Linked DNA regions of Oreochromis niloticus. The protein of the gene in region 2 purifies or fractionates together with the protein of the main gene of each other region. This does not show direct contact. Links are inferred from orthologs where the notes say so. Each region holds a gene or a part of one and is shown on either strand. Other genes may lie near its edges. The genes, in order: protein S100-A10 and pla2g4ab.

Region 1 (9,920 bases), on a different chromosome or scaffold from region 2:
GATTTATTTTGTTGTCGTCATGATGCTTTCTTAGGTGTGAGCTCAAACCTTTGCTGAAGATTTTATATTCTGTGTAGCTTAAAAGACAAACCAACAGAGGTCGGTTAAAAAAGTCAGTTTTTCAGTAGTGACACTGGTCGTTTTGTTTATTTTCTTTCTTATTCTGTTTTGTGTGCAAGTAGAAAATTTTTAAGAAAAATAGCATGTTTAGAAATGTATATCAAAAATCCTTTCCTCTGTTCAAAAGCACTTGGTAAACACTTGAGAAAAAAAATCCTTTAAATCATTTACGGGGACTGATCATTTTATGTTTATTGTCTGCCATGGAGGTATTCAACTCCTTTGCTCAAGCAAAACTACACATGTATGAAATAAAACTGATTGTAGTTTCCATCATTATATTTTGACATCATATTCAGTATTATTAGCAGAACTTAAATTCATAATTTAAAGGAAACTGATGTCAGTTGTAGTCAACTGAGCTGTGCAGCCATGATACTGCTTTAATTTACAGTACAGAAATAATGAACTTCTACTAAGAAACTTACATGTGAAGTCAGGGTGTGTAGTCAGTACTGTCAGTGGCGTGAGTGAGTGCACGAATGAAGAAGTGCAGTATGCAGTGTTTGCAGAGCACTGGCACACTGGGCCCAGGTGTTGCCAGTGTGGCTGATTGGGATCAAAAGAAATGAAGGCAGGTTGGAGTATGCTGTCACAGCACACACTGTATTCAGCCTAATTCCACAATTTTGCTTTGCAAGTACAATGGCAATAAAAGCCTTTTCTATTCTATTGTATTCTTTTCAAAAGAATCAATTTTCTGGTTGAAAATAAATAAACGGATAAACAGAGGTCTTCTGCAGTGCATGCTGGTTTTGGTGCTCAAAGGATTTTAATTTACTAGAAAACTTATTTGGATTTAAAATGCAATGAGCAACAACTGATTTGTTCTTCAAAAAGACCGCCGTAGCTATTCACATGTCTCAGTGTTTCTTCCACAGGTGGAAAGTTTCCTGACAGCTGTGTTCAATAAGACCTAACCAGCTCTCTGTTGGGTGTGTACACTACTCCCTCATATTAAAATTCCTGTTTAAACAATGAACATGAGATATACATCCCTCACCTGCGTTTGACTTGGTCAATCTGTTTTTATTACAAAACAGCCGCTTTACTTCAAGCTGTATCTAGCAATCAGAAAGTGTTTCTTTTCGTCTTTCGTCAGATCTTTTATTGAACTGTGCAAGTGTGCTGATCAACACCAGGCCAGGGGAAGAATTATAACTGCAATAAAGAAAGACCATTATTACCCACACCTGGTCAAAAAGGAAAGTCAACCATACCACAATAAGTAGGCACACTATAAGTAAACCAGTTCTAAAAGTGAAGCTACCAGTCCTGCAACAGAAATCAAGTATAAGAAAGCTATACCTATTTTAGTGATTGCAGTAGAAGGTGACCTATTGAATTTGCCTGTGTGCGAGGGCCTCCAGGATGGAAGCAGTTAAAATAAAAAAAAAAAAGCAAACAAACTTGCTAAACAGGAATCTTGAAAACAGCCAATGTGAGTGTCACAAATACCCTGTTGAACCCTATGGAGGTGGTTTTCTCTTCACTCCGTTGACTCCGTTGAATCCAGGTAGGAGCAGACTTTTCTGTGACTTTTATTGTTTAGAGAGAAACTAGACAAATTTTGTCTTGTGGTTGAAGATTCATCTGTAATTATGTTAAACTGGCTGGGTTTTGGTTCTACTCTAACTGCATGTATTTTGTTTCAGTGAAGCTGCTCTTCCTTTTGAAAGGTATGTAAAACTTTTAGTTAAGAATCACATTTTTAAAAAGTAAAGACTTATTGTAAGTGCAGTCCATCTACATTTCTGTCCCTCTGCCGATGCATGCCAAATAATATTTCATGATCCATTTTATTTCTTGTCCAGATTCTTGTACAGCGCTGCAAAAATGTCAGACCCAACAAGACTGGAAATGGCATTGGCTGCAATGTTCAGTGTCTACATGTCCTACCAAGGAGATGACAAAAAACTGACCAAAGAACAATTTCTAAAACTAGTGAAGGATGAACTACCCGTACTTGGTGAGGTAAGGGAAAACACTGTAGTAAATCACTGCAAATGATCACAGTAACCTTAAATGTGTGTCTCGATGTCACTAAAGTGCAATGTAAATGTTTAAGGCACAGCTTAGCATTAAAATCAACTAGCCTCACAAATCTGTTGAGTTTGCAAATTTCTCATAACAGCCTGACTAAAAGCATGAACCAAGAGATACATTTTTTTTTTTTAAATTAATTAATTAAAAGAACAAAGTATTATTAAACTCGGCCCTTTTCTTGTGTTTTGTTTTAATGAAATGAACATAAACGACTGGCTCAAAACTTAAACACCTGTAATGTTAAGTAGAGAAATGGTAAATGCTTTACATTCACAGGCTCTTATTTTCAAAGTTATTAAATGTTTGTTTCACCTTTGCAGGGAAAAAATGAAGATGAGCTCTTCAAGTGTGTCGACCACAATGATGATAAACGTGTGGACTTTGAAGAGTTCGCCTCACTGGTTGCTGGTTGCGCCTGTGCAAGCCATGACGCCCTCCAAAAGGTCGTGAAAGAACTGGATTCAAAAGGCTTCCCAAAGTAAAGCACTGCTGATGTGGAAAGAAACCCAATATAGGCCTTACCTGGATTCACATCAAAACAAAGTCTGTCAAAGACTGCGTTTGTTTTTTCTTTAACTTGATTTGTCTTAGGGATGGATAGAAATGTTTGCTAGTTGCCTATTCACACCTCTGAACTAGTTGTTCCATGTTAGGATATACCCATATTGCCCCCTATTCTCACATGGGCTTAAGAATATAACACTGATGTTTGTGTCCACTGTACCTCCTTCAGGTAATGCTGCCATCTACTGTTAGAAAACTATGCCTATTGGCGGTAGTGTTCAAGTTACTAATTATTACTTTAAAGTAATCCTGTCACTTTACTGATTACTTTTGAAAATAAGTAATTAATCTTTCAAAACATGATACACAACCTGAAAAGGTAATAAAGCAATAGATCTTTTAGTCCAATTCTACTTTTTCTGCATAGTCCATCATATAAAATGTAATCAAATGAATTTTAATCATAACTTCATGCACATTGCATCAAGCAAAAATTAAATTATATGCAACAGTCTTTGACCTTAAGAAATCTGTTTAACATTTAAACCTATTTTCTGCATATTCCAGCATATAAAATAAAATGTTTTGTGTTTACACCCACTCTTTCAAATAGATGCAAGTGTAAAACAGCAGAAAATAAATAAACGCGTTACTTGTAACATGTTACTGTAACGCGTTACTGCCCATCTCTGATTATAGGTAATCCTTTCAGGACTATAGGAATGTGAAATATGTAAACCACTGAAACTGCTGGATGATAAAATCCACCCAGATTGTTTTTAAAGCCATAAAGTTTACTACCTTTTTTTTTTTTTTTTTAACTAAGAAGTAGATAAGCCTCTGAATTCCTGACTTGACCTGTTTCTGAATGGTTTCCTTCTATCCAAAAATACTATTTGACACGACATTCAACAAAATACAAGCTTTCTTGTAATTTACATAGTCTTTAGTTCTCTAGGCTTCTGGAAGGACATTCAAAGCTATTCTTTGAATGTTGGCTGCCTATTGCTCTGTAAAGATGATCCAAAGCTGCTTCAATAAGGTACAGGTCTGGGGGCTGAGGCCAGTCGATAACTGATAGTAATCCAGTTTTTGGAAATGCATTTGTTTCCAAAAACGTTTGTTTTCAGGGTAAACTGTGTAGTTTAATTGAATGGTATACATTCAGTTAGACCAAGCATATGTTCTTAATCATTCATTATTTGAATAAATATTCTATTTTTTATATTTCAGTTGTATTTTAGTACACTACTTATTTTATTATTGCTTCGTGCTTATGAGGGCCAATGATTTAATTTTATTTTTTATATTGTATTTGTACATCTATCACTTTTAAGAAGCCCCAACACCAGAGGCTGAAATGCAGCCCCAGACCATGACAGAGCCACCACCATATTTTATGGCTGTAGACACAGTGCAAATATTGATGTAAAGTTCTTCCTACGACGGGTATGTGGAGACCTGGTTTGTCAGGTTTTTCAGTACACACTTGTGAGAATTAGAAGACTAATGACAACGATTTTGATGTTTGCCAGGAATTACTCAAGCCTTTCTTAAGAAGAACTATGGCCTTAATTTAAATATATAGCTTAAATATAAGTCCCACATTCCTGTAGCACCAACAAAATGTATTTGAAGTATCCAAAATAAACAAAATGACATCTTGTGTAATGTCACTTTAATAATTTTATTACATTAACCTGTGTTAGACTAGCAGCCTGTCCAGGGTGTACCTTGCCTTTCACCCAGTAAAAACTCGGCTCCAGACTAACCACAACACTGACCTGGATAAGTGGTTAATTATTAATAGAATTATTATTATTGACAGTAATATAATTATTATTATATGGAAGCCAAGTAAAGCACAAGGACTTAGGTAAGTGCAGGATGGAAACGTGCGTGGTGTACTCAGTTGCTGGTTATGTTTTTTTGGCAACAAATCTGTGTGAAACTTGTTACTGTTTGTCCTGGTTTCAACTTTTTCAGATGAAATGAAGTATTTATTTCAAACCCTTATCATAGGATCATTCTTTGGATCGTCTGTCTCTGTCCATATCTTCCCTGCACTCTTCCACTCTATACACCAATAATTGATATAGTCATTTTTCTGCCATAATGTGTTTACGGTTCTTCGAACCCTCCCTGCAAAAGATCACCTTTTCAGAAAACTGCTTCAAGAAATCACTACTAATGGAGTCTGATAATAAGAAGAGAACTGGTTTAACCAAGAAACAAAACTGGAAATCTGGACTGACGAGTTATTAGAAAAAGAGAGTTAGTCAAGTACTGTATTTGTAGGTCTTTCAGTTAAAATGATATATTTAAGGATAACAGCAAGAAAAATAGTAAGGTAGAGGTTAAAAAAGGTAGTAGAGGTTAAAAGTGTGCTGGCAGAAATTTGGGTTAAAAAAAATAGATAGATATTCAGTTTGTTATTTGCTTAATAAACTTTTTAAACAGGTTTACAATATTTTAGTTTTCTTGTTAAGCACTGTGTATGTCTGTTTTTACACATTTTTCTACTGTCCTTTATATGGGACAACAGATTAGGATTACAGGATTAGGCTAATAAAGTAAAAAGCACTTCCACTTTGATCAGCTATGAGATTAACATGAAACCTAACATTAATACATAGCGAGATCAAATAGGTTAAAATAACAAAAAGTTGAGTGCAGGAAACATTGCAATAAAGTATTTTGGTGATTTTCATGTTAAATTATGTTTTTTTTTCTCCTTTGTTAATAAAATGAGATACAAACGGATCGGTTTGTTATTCAGACACAGCTTTAACACTGGGTCCAAAGCGTACCATTTGTAATACCCTGTTTTCACCACAATGTGGCGCACTGTATCCATCCAGCTATCTGTCGTCCATCTTTGATATAAAAAGCATTTCAGGATAATAGGAGTAAAGGTTCACCTTATGATAGGAATATAAATGCAGATAATATGAGACAAAACAGTCCTTGAAACCACACTGGCTGGATTGCCTCTGTTGTGAATGATAGCGATAGTTTACAGAATTGAGCTTGTACTCAGCAGAATGCTGCTGATTGGCTCTTCTGCTGATGTGTATGTTTTCCTGTGCTTATCAAAAATCCTGTTCTTTAGTTGCTATTTGTTGTTGTTGTTGTTGTTGTTGTTGTTGTTCTCTGTATTTTGTCTCACAATACCAGACAGAAAATCTCGGGCCTTTAGCTGTCGTATGAATACTCCTTTAGGTATCAGTAAGTCTAACAGGTAAATTACAGATTTTCCAGCCTACGAAATTACAGTAAATAGTTTTTAAAAATCCTTTAAACCTAAGGTGTGTTTATTATGGAGATTAACACAGAAAAGTAGTGCGTGTGTGGGAGGTGGGCGGTGGAGAGGGGCGGGGGGTCTGTTAAACCGGTAGCCTAAACTTTGATGAAAATTTATCTTAAATTCCACAAAAACGGCTTTTAGCTCTTCTATCAGCAACAATACTAACTTTTTCCTTGTTTTTAATTCAGATGACTAAACTTAAGCTAAAGTCGTACTGATATATTTACTCTCCTATTACTCCAGTGTATTAACTGTTCAGAGAGTCCAGCGTCTGCACAGCCACAGTGTGAGTCAGTGCGCACAGCCAGGGCGGCGCCTGACTATAAAATCTCTGTTGCTTGTTGCAGACGTCTGAACATTCGCACCTCTTCTGCTGACCACGTCCCAGCAACTGTACGGTAAGAAACTTTCTGCTCTTGTCCTACAGGTGTGGCTTTGCCACGAGTTTTTTTTTTTAATATAAACTTTAGTTGCTCAAACATACAGACATACAGCTAGGACCCTCTGGGTGTGAGAATAGTGTTTCATATTGTCTAACCTACTTTAATCCGCTCCCAGTCACTGCTTTGTATTTACTGAAGCTCCCTCTTTGTGAATTTCTAACGGTTTCTAACGGATCTGTGTATTTCCTCTGCTGTAACTAAGTTAGGCTGCAACTTTTAGTTAGTTTATTGTGTTTCTTTCTCTTGTTTTCAATCTTTCACATTAATTACACTTTAATTGTTTTTCCAATGTTCTAATTACTTTTATTAATAAAATATATAATTAACATTTTTACATTAAGCTCTGATTCACATTTAAGACAGTTAACTAGGTCTCCATATAGTCGATATAAGCCTTTGTAAGGGTGTGGTTGGGTGGTTGGGTTGGGTGTGGGCATGTACACACATGTGCTTGTTCCTCCAGTGTCCTATCTCATTACTCACATTGAATCCCACCATTTTGGGTCTCACATTTTTCAGTTCAAGTTGTTCACATTTTCCATTCTCTTGCACACAAATAACACACCCTCCCTCCCACTTCTCCTTTCTTTTAACTCTTACAGCTACAAAGACAGTAATTCAAATGTTGAGATTTTCTGTATTTTGCACAGTGGTTTACTAAAATTTCAATGACATACCTTTACTGTCGTCCCACGAGCATCACTCATCAGTGGGAAGTACAACAAAGACCCAAATGTGTCAGCTCCATCAATAATGGACGAGTTTAACAGCGTCACAGCCAAAGCAGCTTTCATAAATGCTTTCTAAGGACTTGTTTGGAAAATGTCAGCTGAAGTTAAACTGGATTGCTATCACTTGTCATAGTCAACATTTTCTGCTGTATCTGAACATTGTTTTTCAGTCTAAACACATTCCAGCAACCATGCCTTCAGAACTGGAAAACTGCATGGAAGGACTCATCAAGGTGTTCCACCGTTACGCCAAGAATGGTTCGCTCACCCGGCAAAACCTCAGACAGCTAATGGAGGCTGAGCTTTCCAGCTTCCTTAAGGTGAGATGAGACCAAAACGTAAATTGTACAATCACGCTGCGCATTATTTACACACTGTAATCCAACACTATGCCACCTCGTGTGCAACCTCACTGTTGCTGATGTATCCTCACACACCCTTTTTTTAAACACAGTGTCAAAAAGATCCTGCTGCTGTGGACAAGATCATGAAAGACTTGGATGCCAACGGTGATGGTCTTGTGAACTTTGAGGAGTTTGTTTCTCTGGTTGTTGGACTGTCTGTTGCCTGTGAGCAGTGCTATCAGCTGGAAATGAAGAAGACTGGAAAGAAGTAGGAAGTACAACAGTGGAAGAGAATAGACCAAAAAGCATTGCTTTTTTTTTTTTGTAAAGTTTTGTTCATTAAAAGTGCTGAATCCTTTTAAACCTCTTGTGTCTTGTGTTTCCTAGCTATGTAATCTTTAAGTTAGACAGATTTGCCTATAAATCTTCAACTTTTTATACATGTGTTTTTGTAAGCAAGCACCAGCACCATTTCCATTTGAGAAGCTGGTAAAGCTTAATCCAGACAGCTTTCTCTGTTGGCATTGTAACTGAGTGAGTACTTTATGTTTCCCCGAGTGTTAAAGGGCAGATGAGCCACTCCCTCCCTGACAAAGTCCCTGCTTTATCACTGCTCTGAGGAATCTGCTGAATGTTGTAGGCATGAACACACCTCTCTCAGTGAGGCATAAACTCTCAGAGGATGTTGCAACTCTATGAATAAAACAGGTGATAACATTGCCTAGTCAGTTTGATTTGTATCTTGCAAGCCCTCAACTGACTCACAAGAACAGCACATCACTGTTCTTGTGCAGATCACAAAAATCCCACTGTGTTTCATGTCTGGTGAAAGTTGAATAACACCAGAGAAAGAGAGAGGGGAACAGGATAACCCCTTCACCACCCGTCTCTCATTATTCTTACTGAACAGAACAAATATCTTTGCTCTAAAACGAAGTCTTCCAGGCAGCCCTACCTCTCACGCATGCTCCAGCAATCAAATCTGTTATTGATAGATGTGCAGATAGACTGGGAGCCACTGTTTACTATGATGGTCTGCCGATCCCAGTGAAGTCATCAAAGTTTTTACTGCCTGAGAAAAGCCTGCCTGAAAGGCTAAACCCAGGAGGAAGAGGTCTTCTTGAGCTCTTGGCAAACACCGCTTTGGGCAGGGCTTAACTACTGGTTTGTCAGTGTTCATGGTTACTGGGAAAACACTGAAGTTGCTATGTGACTCTGTGATGACTCTTAAGTGTGTGTGTGTGTCTGTGTGTGTGTAGCTAGAGTTTGCACCACTTGGTTTACAGAAGCACCCCGCCCATGTGACCCACAGCTTAGATTCCAAGACTGCTGCTTTTTCAGTGCATTTCCTTGTATTTAGTGCCTCCTGCAGGCTATATGTTTATCATGTTGCCTAAAAGAAAAGAAAATCATCATTTGTCTAGATGAATTACTCTTCGAGCTTGAGGCAAGTTACCAGACACTGATCGGTGACACCACTGTACGTGGCATGTCTAGTTTTCTAACAGACTTTCTAATATAGTAATAATGACATTTGTCACAACATTTTTCTCACTGAAATAATCCTGCGTACTTTTTGGTTTTAAAGTTGCTCAAGTCATTCCTGGCGGGGGCGTTCTGTGGTGTGAGTTTGGGGATTACCAAATATTCACTGTGGCATGCCACGCCCATCTTGGACACACCAAAAAAAGCCCCTCACTGTGGAAACTTGTTAAACAATAACATTAATGTCCCAAACATACCAACCATCCCCAACGTCCAGTTTGCAAGCAGATGTTGCCATGGGAAATAACTATTGTGATCCTGATACTGATTCAATTCACAGTTACATTTAGTTGAATGTTTTTTTTACCCCCAGTGTTCAAATGTGAGCGTTAGAAACCAATAGACATTTAAATTCCACTATACTTGGCACTTTATCCACAACATTAATATCACCTGCTTATTATTTTGTAGGTCCTACTCAAGCTGCCAGTACAGCTCTGTCCCATTGGACCTGCGTGTTTGGGAGAGGAAACTTTGTGTCCTGCTTGATTCATCGAAGCCCAGCCCAGCAGCCCACAGGACACGAAGTATCCACAGCAGGGCTGGGCTTCGATGAATCAAGCTTGTTCAAATTGCAATCTGGGTTTGGAGTCTGGGTATGTGTGACCTCTTTGCTGTGCTCCTGCAACTGCTCTGATTTAGTTTTTACAGAGGCAGGGATCATTATTCTGAGATGCTGCCTTCAGGGAGTGAAGGCAGAACAGGGGGTAGAGCGTTACATTGAAAAGACAGGGTCCATACATTTCACCTGTCAGTGGTTTTAGTGTTGTTGGTGTTGTTGTTGGTGCTGTGTATTTTATAAGCTGATTCTGCCGCTTCACTTTTCTTCTGTTCTTTTATTGATAGACACACGGAGGGTGCTTTGAGCCAGTTGAACTGA
Region 2 (10,280 bases):
CAATGAGGAACACCTCCATCTTTGTCTGGCCCACTTTGAGTTTGGAGATTTCGAAGGATGCTGTCCCAAGCGTCTCATCCATCACGTAGTTGGCATCCATTAATGTTAACTGTTGGACATGAACAACAGCAGTTTGTACTCAAATAGAAATTGTGGCAGGTGTTCAGTTCTTCCAACTGGCTAGTTTTGTTGATTAGTTAAATTGATTATGACTTCGACGGTATATGCAGATTGCCTTCACAAACATGGGTCGCACTAAGGACCTCACCGAATTCGAGTGTGATGCTGTAACAGCATCACACAGTTTCAACTGTAAACGGTGTTATTAGAAAGTAGAACCATTTAGAAACCACGGAAACTCAGCCTTCAAGTGGCAGACCGCATAAAGTCACCGGCCAGCGCTGAGGTGCAAGAAGTCTTTAAAAGTCACCTCATGGCAGGATTTTCCATTAGTCATGGATGTAAATATGTAGGCCGCTTGTGTAGCTTACCCCAAACTAACACTTGAGTCATTCAAAGACTAGTTTTTTGGATGATGTTAACATATCACCTCATAGCGAGCTACAAGTGTTGGGCTGTGTTTATGTGGGATTGCGCTCCATGACATTACTTCTTGTCATCCTGTGCTGCGCTCTGTTACAGTAAATGCAGGTCTAACCTCCAGAACGTTGTGCTGGTTGGGGTCTAAAATGAAATGAAAGGTCTCGTTCCATTTTGGGTTGATGTCGTTGTCTATGTGCTTGGTCCTCTTTCTGCTTTCAGGGGCCGTCGGGATGAAAAGCTCCACATATGGGTCTGGAGTGTCCACTGGGCGCACAAACAAGTTCAACAGGGTTACTACACAGCTGAAAACCAAACTCAAAATAACCATCATCAAGTGCTTTTGTATTTCTTTTACTGTAAATTTACATGGATTACATTCCAACAATATGAAGTAAAAGCATGGTAATATGTTACTGTAAGGAAAAAATTATATAAGCACTTACGCAGGTCGCCCAGCGCTCCCTTGGTGACGTTCTGAGCTCGAACTACAGTCACTGTGAATTTGTGAGAAAACTGCTGCTCCACCTGCAATTTGGACATTCAGAGTTCAGCCTCACTTCATTGCTTCATGAGAAAAAAATCACATCAACCATGTTGAGAGCAAAAAATGAACACATCCAGAACATGAGAACATCTGGGTTTTTTGGCAGGTCGACACAGAGTGCCATTCCCCTGTGAAACTCTCCAGTTAAGGATACGCTTCCCAGCTGTGTTCACACTGTGCTACGACAGCTTTCTCCTTATATTTTGACAGTACTGCAAAATTTGTAGCCCTTTCCCAAATACTGTGACTCTAATAAATACTGTAGATGAGCATTTAATGGGACCGTACTGTAAACCCTTTATATATTTTACAGCAACCCTTTCACCTCAGTTACCCTTGTGCTACATTGTCGTATCCCTGAAAGTTTGGTAGCACACTGAAATGAAAGTTAAAGTATTGGACACTGTTCAAATACGACTACTTGAAGGTCCCAACAGTGTTCCCTTTGTCATTTCTAGATATTAGATCTCTCCAATCTCACAGAACAGATGTTGTTTTGAATTTCTGCGTGTTGCAGTGCAGTTTGATATTGTGACTATTTAAGATTCCTCTTTCTGGCAGCCTTTTACACACTCTTAAATTATTTTTAAAAACCCAAAAGACGAATAGTTTCAACGACGATTTGCAGATCTGTAAAACAGGAAGTGCTGTGAGACTTTTTTGCAGCTCCCCTCTCGCCCCTTCTTGTTAAAAGGCCGCTTGTTCAGTTTTTCCTCTACAACGCTGTGAGCTTAATTATTTTATGATTTATGATTATGGTACTAAATAAATGAAATTTAACTGGAATTACGTGATAAAAACTCAGACGTCACACTGATCAAACAATATGCATATTTTTCTTTTAAAACAACCCTTTCAACCTTGACTTCCACCAACATGGAAATGAAAATGGCCTTGACGTTGACACGCTCATTGTTGCGCTTACACCCAAGGCTGTGGCTTGCGATAAGAGGGAATTTTTTTAATACCAGTAAACTAAGAACTTCCACAGAATTATTTGTGTCACGGTTGATGCCAAAGAAACCGTCCACTTTTGTTTTGGCCTCAGTTTTATTTACAGTCATGTAAACACACACTGTGTCGACACTCACAATTATATTGGAAGCCATTGTCATGTGAGGTGAGCAACTCGCAGGGAAGCCTTCGTCAAGATGTGAACTTTAGGTCAAGAGAACATATCTGTCACAAACTGCAGCACCGAGAGCCTGAAATATGAAACAAAGAAGTGCAAACAAAGGGTTAGAGTTTGAACGGGCTGAAAAAAGAATATTATGTTACTATTAAAACTGTGATGCAAACGACAACAAAATACTAACATCATTACCGCGATTTACAGCTTTAGTTTTAGCCAGAGTTGCAGCAAATGGACATATTACAATATCTCTTGAAAGGATGCCTTTCCTAAACAAAACACTTTTTTTATAGTGCATTGGAATTTTTAAAAATAAGTCGCTTCGCAAATACCAGTGAAGTCTTTTACATCTTGGCAGGGGTAAAAGGAAGTGTGCTGAGCCACAAAATCCCGATAAGAGGACTGGGCCAATAGAAATGGGGTGTGTGTGTGTGTGTGTGTGTGTGTGTGTGTGTGTGTTCACCACAAGCATGTGTTAAGAGAGCGAGAGAAAATATGCCAGTAAAGGGAGGAGGGTCTTCCCTGAATAAATGCAACATGCTGGACGACAAAATGTAAAGCTTAGTGCGCATTTGCAGAATAGGTGGCAAGGTGGCTATTTTTAGCAACGCGAACGCCTTCTCTTTGTGATGTCTGAACACCATATCGTGATAAGAAATTTGCATAGATATGTGTATGTCTATGTGTGTGAGTGCGAGTGTAAAAGTGATAGCATATGAAGGTCACCAGCCTTTTCTCTGCTGCTCACCAAAGTGTGTAATTACTGAGAGGACTGAGAGCACGTAGAGCGTCTGTGTGTTCACAGAAGCGGTCACGTACTTTGCATCAGTGGTCCAACTTCGGACGGTGCCAGTTCACTCTGCCCTTGTTCCGCTGCTGCATACAATGGGCGCATGCAGGCTACAGAGCCCTGCAAGTGTGCCAGCTTCAGCAAAGCGCCGCGTGGCAGCAAATTTTCATATGAGGATGCAGAACGCGAAAGAGACTTGCAGCGACGGTCTATAATGCAAAACAGCTGCCGCAGCTGTGGCTTTCACCGGAGCACAGTCAGGCTCCTCCTGGGCGAGTGTGCTCCCACCTGAGCCACACAAGGAGCAGGTCGGAAGACTCACTTCAGTGAATCACTGTGCGTGTCTCCAGAGAAAGATTACGCCGAGGAGTCATTGCAATTTAATTCTTATACGGATTAGAGGCTTCACGCAAAACTTAGCATTAGGCACTGCTAAGAGGCTTTACATTATTCTTATTAGCCCGGCAGATTAAGGGCAGATCAAACAAGGATTGATGATGTTATGAGTGCGCTACATGCGATGCTGAGTAATGTTAGTCCTTCTAAGGCAGTAAAGATGTGGTGGATACTATGAATTTGCATTTATATAAACATGACACATGATATAAAATATCTATGAAGGTAGAATAAACATAATAATAATTCGCAAAAGTTCCGTTTTATTCAGTTTTACTTGTGTATCCCTGCAGTGATCGGTCCTATTTAAACTGGCCTGTGAGTTTCCTTGTCTTCGGCGTCGCGTAAAATTTAAGCCTTGGCTGTTTAACCCATTAGGAGCAAAGGCGCAGACCTCCTCCTTTAAACTGCGCCCAAACCCGTTTGAAAAAACACATCAATGTGCCTAAAAAGGAAAGGAAATATCCACGTACCTTAACAGGCGCATGCTATCAACTCACAAATCCAGAAAAATGTCTCATGTCGATAACACCAATAGCTCGGGAGGTGGAGAGGAGGCGCTACCGTACCCGGCAGTGAGCAGTATCGTAGCTTATTACGTTTGCATCGAGAGAAAAAAACAAAACTACCGGAAGACAATAAAAATATAGCGGGGTTTAAATGCTGGTTTTAAAAAAAGATGGTCAAGATTCTTTTAATAGGAAATTTCCGAGTAGCAGTCAGACTGACTCCGATTTTGAGACTTGATCCAAATATGCACGATCATCAACCGCAAGGTGGCATCTGTGGTTGAAAAAGTTTCTGAATGAAATGAACGTTTAAACGGAGGTGCCATGCGACTTTTTACTGGTTTAGGTGATGATTCATTTAATTCAGTGAAATTCAATGAAAAAAAAAAGAGTTTTATATGTTCACTTTTATTAAACATCTCCGGGAAAGATTCTCAAACTTGTATTTTTTTTAATATCAATCAAAGAGTACTCGAGTATTTTTACTTATCATTTCTCCATGTTTGTTCATACGATTTGTAGAGGCTAAAGATATCAAAAAAACCCCAAGCGTGTCGTGGTAATACGTTATATAAACCAGTAAATATTATTAGACTTTAATTAAAATCACAGCGTGGCGTTTTAATGGCGACAAAAAAACCCCAAAAGACGCATACAATTAGTTAATTTACCTGCTGTAGCACTGAAGGAGTGAGGATAGAAAATAAATATTCCGTAGATAAGAAAACTTGTTTCTTCCAAAAATGATTTCCGGTATTTCCTCAAAAAAAATAAAAAATAAAAAAATAAATAAAGTAAAATAAAAGGATTGCCTACATTTAAACTGTTGTAAGTTACTTGTTGTCCTATAACAGACGTCAAACTTAACTCTCTTGAAAGATATAAAGTTATTTTGACGCAAAAAGGAATGTTCTGCATTCACTTTTTAGCAAAGTGGTTTTTATATATCCGTCTTTGATCCGGCTAAAAGTCTCATTGTCATTAAAAATGTCTTTTAAAGAGTGATGTGGCCAAGAGTGCATCAGAAATTACAACACGTATCACATATTGGTTCTATAAAGATATTTTAAGTGGACAAAAAGGAATGAAACGATTATAGTGTGGGTACAGTAACCCAGAGTCATAAAGACACTCGCAAAACAGGTGATTTATGTATTTTATATACAGCCCCTTCATAAACCCTGCTCACTAATATAAGCAAACACATTAATATAATAAAATAAACCAAAAAATCACTTTTGTCACAGTTTGTGGGTGGGGTGGTAGGAGGAGCACCGTGTTATAAAAGCCTCATCCTGGCTGTGGACATTCAAAATTTCACCATCGTCGCGCGCGAGTGGGAGAGCAGACATGAAACAAAAGCGGAGTCTTCGGAGCATGAACAAACTCACTTTGCTGTTTTTCCTGTTGGCCCTGTGCTTTCTTGTCGGCGAAACTGGTAAGCTGAGGAAACTGCAGATTATTTCTTACAGTTTTTCCATTTTATTTTATTGATACAGCCCAAATCACAGCAACAGTTTAGAAGTCGTGATTTCTTTCTATTAGTATTATTGTCATGCCAAATAAGATCTTCTTCTTATTCTTCTTGAGAACTGAATAATTATTTTTTTATTAAACAGATAGTAAGTGTCCAACCTTATCTGTTACAGTTAACCCATGTTGCTCAGAGCCATGCCAGAACAGGGGTGTCTGCTCACCACTGGGCTCAGAAGAATACGAGTGTGACTGCACACGCACGGGGTACTATGGGCAAAACTGCACAACACGTAAGTGTGAACATCGCGCTTGGAGTGAAACAAAAATGAAGGTGCATTTCTGGTGGTGACTTGATGGCTTGATTCACGTGCTCTCTTTGTCCCTTACAGCTGAATTCTTCACCTGGATCAAAGTGTCTCTGAAGCCAACACCCAACACAGTCCACTACATCCTGACCCACTTCAAGGGTTTCTGGAACATCGTCAACAGCATCTCATTCCTCAGGGATGTCATCATGAGATATGTGCTGACATGTAAGTCTCTCTCTGCCCGAAGGCAAAAATGAAAAAAGTGGACTGGAAAGTTTTTCACAGTACATTAAACAATTTACGCAGCAACTTGTTGTAGTGTTTATACTAAATGAAGGACTAATATGGGTTTTCCTTTCTCTAGCCCGATCCCACTTGATTGACAGTCCTCCAACTTATAATGCTGATTACGGCTATAAGAGCTGGGAAGCCTACTCCAACCTTTCCTACTATACACGCTCCCTCCCCCCTGTGCCGCAGGATTGCCCAACCCCTATGGGAGTAGTAGGTGAGTACACTGTCTACCTTTGGAAAACCAGTTTTCTGAGATTCTTAAGATACTGAACAAAACCGTCTTTGTCGAATTACATCATAGGAAGCGCGCAAATTGGAATTAGTTTTCCTCTTAGATGAGGCAACACAGAAAAACCTCCCCCTACAAGCCCAAACCAAAGAGATCAAGTTATTTTTTGCGTCAGAAGTATGAAACAGACCCAAAGAGCTGTGATTTTCCTATCATTGTGTTATGTGCTCAGTGAAGTCTTCTTATTCTTCCAGGCAAAAAGGAGCTACCTGATGTTAAAGTTCTGGCTGAGAAGCTCTTAATGAGGAGACAGTTTATACCAGACCCGCAGGGCACCAGTTTGATGTTTGCCTTCTTCGCACAGCACTTCACCCACCAGTTCTTCAAATCTGACATGAAGAGAGGGCCTGCTTTCACTGTTGCTAAGGGTCATGGGGTAAGTGGAGCGGGTCTGAAGATCTCGGTTTTTGAAAAGCAAACTCATTTTAATGCGACGCAGTTTTTAATTGGCGTGTCTTACACTTTCAGGTGGACCTCAACCACATCTACGGTGACAACCTGGAGAAGCAGCACAAGCTGAGACTCTTTAAGGATGGCAAGCTGAAATATCAGGTATGGGGGAAAAAGATAGCTGTACTCGAGGCGTCAAAGAGACCAGCTCACGTGCGTTTCTCACAGCGGTTTCCTCTTTTGTGTAACCCTGCAGATGCTTGATGGAGAGATGTACCCCCCGACAGTTAAGGAAGTGGGTGTCGAGATGCATTACCCCCCTCACGTCCCAGATTCTCACCGCTTCGCTGTCGGCCACGAGGCATTCGGCCTGGTCCCTGGTCTGATGATGTACGCCACCATCTGGCTCCGCGAACACAACCGTGTGTGCGATGTGCTGAAAGAGGTCCACCCATACTGGGATGACGAAAGACTCTTCCAGACCGCACGGCTCATCCTAATCGGTAAGTTAAAAGAAGTCCAGATACCAGCTGTAACGTAGTTGGAAATTTTTTATTAAAAAGCTAATAATAATATCGTTAGCAGGGGATTTTTCTTTAAAAAAAGGAAGTTTTACTTCTTAGTTTTCACCTCCTAATGACCCTGTTGCACACAGTGGAGCATTTCATTTCAGGAACCTGATTTACTGAAAGACTTGAGAATTTCTTGTCAACATCAGAAAGAGGAAATGTGTTTTACTATCCACTTTGTGCTTACCCAACCTACAGACATGCAAATCAATCAATCAATAAGCACGATTTATTTTAAAGCACAGAGTGGCTTTTAGCATTTAGAGTGTCTTCATTGTATAAACCGTCACATTTCTCATCTGGCAGGTGAGACCATCAAAATCGTGATTGAGGACTACGTGCAGCATCTCAGTGGCTATCACTTCAAACTGAAGTTTGACCCTGAGCTGCTCTTTAACCAGCGCTTCCAGTACCAGAACCGCATTGCATCCGAGTTCAACACCCTTTATCACTGGCACCCTCTGATGCCTGATAGTTTCCACATTGAGGAGACAGATTACAGCTACAAGCAGTTTGTCTTCAACACCTCTGTCGTGACTGAGCACGGCATCAGCAACCTGGTGGAGTCGTTCACCAATCAGATTGCCGGACGGGTAAGAACTCTTTAAGCTCCCGCAGCAGCAGTTAGACTGAAACATACAAGACCAGCGTTGCTTTAGGGATGCAGAATTGAAATTTCATTTGTGCTTCTTTGTAATTTAGGTTGCTGGTGGTCGAAATGTCCCCGGACCCATCTTGTATGTGGCCATTAAGTCCATAGAGAACAGCAGACAAATGCGTTACCAGTCCCTTAACGCCTACAGGAAACGATTCTCCATGAAGCCCTACACGTCTTTCGAAGACCTGACAGGTGAGACAAATTCAGCACTTCTTGAAAATACCTGTATGCTGAAAATGTGTCAAAAACAGGTTGTTGTAATTGCTGTCTCAGGCCTAGCTATTGCTAGATTAATATCTTTGCAGCGCGATGATTCTTATTATCATAAAGTGTGACTGAAAAACCCGTAGGCTGCAGAATACAGTTTATGCAATAGTTTACCTGATATTGAGGAAATGCCTCAGAGTCCCTAAGCAGTTGCTGGCAGTTTTGAAGGTTAGGTATTTATTTCCATGACTCTGAAAACCAGATGGTCATTTCATCTTAAGGTAGAGTAAGCAGACTGTCATCACTGCAGGCGAGATATAAACAGACACGGGGAGTCCCTCTACTTTAAAGAGGAAGATTTAAACTTTTCAAGAGGTGAATGTCGATTGAAAACTAACTTTGACTTGCTGTATAAGTGAAGAAAAAAATGGCTTGCATGCCAGTGGAAAGATAAAAATCAGGAAGTAAAGGCATATGAAATCTGTCAGTGACCGAGCCAGTGGGGAGGACGCCAGATTGTGTTACTGACCAAAACCGTTTCCTTGTTTGTGTTATTCAGGGGAGAAAGAAATGGCTGCGGTGCTGGAGGAGCTGTACGGGGACGTCGATGCTGTGGAGCTCTACCCGGGCCTGCTGGTGGAGAAGCCCAGACCTAACGGCATCTTTGGGGAAACAATGGTGGAGATGGGGGCTCCTTTCTCCCTCAAGGGCCTAATGGGAAATCCCATCTGCTCCCCGGAGTACTGGAAGCCCAGCACCTTCGGAGGCACAGTCGGCTTCGACATGGTCAACACCGCCTCGCTCCAGAAGCTGGTGTGCAATAACGTGCAGGGTCCCTGCCCCGTGGCGTCCTTTCATGTGCCTGACGTTAAAGAGACCGGGCCCATGATCATCAACTCAAGCACGTCGCAGTCGAGGGGCAGCGACATCAACCCCACCATCATTTTGAAAGAAAGGACTACTGAGCTCTAATTTTATTTAAGCGTGTTGTTGTTATTGTTTTTTAAAAAAACAAACAAAAGATTTATTTATTTATTTATTTGTGTATTTATTTTATATATTTATACAGTAAAATAAAACCAGAACAAGTGGAACACATTTTTATATGTGTATTTGTAAGTTTAATTGAAATTAGAGTCAGTAATTGTTTGTATTTATTTTGTACACTGTCTTCTTATACTGATAACCTCAGCCACTGCAACTTAATACTTGAAAGTTAGTTTACACTTTCATTAAAACAGTAAGTTACTGTTAAATGTTTCCTTGGATTACCTGCTGCCTCTCCATTTATGTTCCCATAGTTGTATTCCAGTAATAAACAGTGAGCGTTTTAAAGGGCAGTGCTCGGGTGCAGCAGTGACAAAGACTGATTGTGACTATCTTCAGTTCACATTGTTTTAGTGATTTCATTTCAACTTCATATTACTCAGAGTAATATGAACTGACAACACGTGTATGTTGAATCCGCTCTATTTTTTTATTTGTATTTTTTTAGGAACGAACAAATATTCTGTCACTTGATTGTACAGGTGCGCGCCTGTGGTCTTCAGAGTATTAAACTGAATAAATGATGAAAGTCATACTTCAGAAATCAACTGTGTGTGTTGCTGTTTTCATGATGTCACTTTGTGTTCTTGTATAAACTCCGAACTGGCTGTGACAGCAGGATAAGATGCTGTTATCTGAACGTAAAGCGCACAGTTATCAGTTCACATGCCACGACTGAAATGCAAATGGCTGTAACTCGGAGAAGTTCTTTGTACACACACACTCACTCAGGGTTGGGTTGGACCTTCCTTCCTTCCTACACGTTGCAAAACTAACAAATGTGCTCAATGGCTGGAGACCTATTGACATTTAAATTATGCTCTGTTGGTGTTAACGGGACCAAACTGTGTCAAGAAAACATCCCCCACATCATTACGCTGCCACCATTAGCCCGAACTGTTGATAGAGGACAGGTTCTCTGCTGGACTGAGACCGGATCACTGATAAATCACACAAATATATAAACAGAGAACAAAACTCTGAGATAATCAACTCACAAAAACAACCAAGATGCAGGGACCACAGCGTAATGTAATTACTGAAACTGTCCGGTATAATAGTCGTTGCAAGAATGTAAGAAACTGATTTACTGATTTACTGATAGCAATTTACTGATTGCTAAATAAT

The links.
Region 1: the proteins of pla2g4ab (region 2) and protein S100-A10 purify together in Homo sapiens (affinity purification with western blotting; 3 studies listed by BioGRID). This does not show direct contact. The link is inferred for Oreochromis niloticus from reciprocal best matches to the Homo sapiens genes PLA2G4A and S100A10.

Annotation. Positions count from the first base shown.
Region 1 is NC_031985.2:17,137,483-17,147,402, reverse strand, and holds protein S100-A10, read left to right. Parts: upstream 1-6,222; 5' UTR 6,223-6,375; intron 6,376-7,321; 5' UTR 7,322-7,342; coding exon 7,343-7,471; intron 7,472-7,605; coding exon 7,606-7,767; 3' UTR 7,768-7,858; downstream 7,859-9,920. UniProt on the Homo sapiens protein: Because S100A10 induces the dimerization of ANXA2/p36, it may function as a regulator of protein phosphorylation in that the ANXA2 monomer is the preferred target (in vitro) of tyrosine-specific kinase.
Region 2 is NC_031981.2:2,445,080-2,455,359, reverse strand, and holds the start of pla2g4ab (cytosolic phospholipase A2), read right to left. Parts: upstream 4,173-10,280; 5' UTR 3,879-4,172; intron 2,518-3,878; exon of another isoform or gene 2,404-2,517; intron 2,293-2,403; 5' UTR 2,203-2,292; coding exon 2,179-2,202; intron 1,069-2,178; coding exon 987-1,068; intron 808-986; coding exon 659-807; intron 110-658; coding exon 1-109. Other genes in the region: ptgs2b (prostaglandin G/H synthase 2), read left to right, coding at 5,265-5,352, 5,564-5,680, 5,780-5,923, 6,063-6,206, 6,476-6,657, 6,750-6,833, 6,928-7,174, 7,547-7,833 and 2 more. UniProt on the Homo sapiens protein: Has primarily calcium-dependent phospholipase and lysophospholipase activities, with a major role in membrane lipid remodeling and biosynthesis of lipid mediators of the inflammatory response.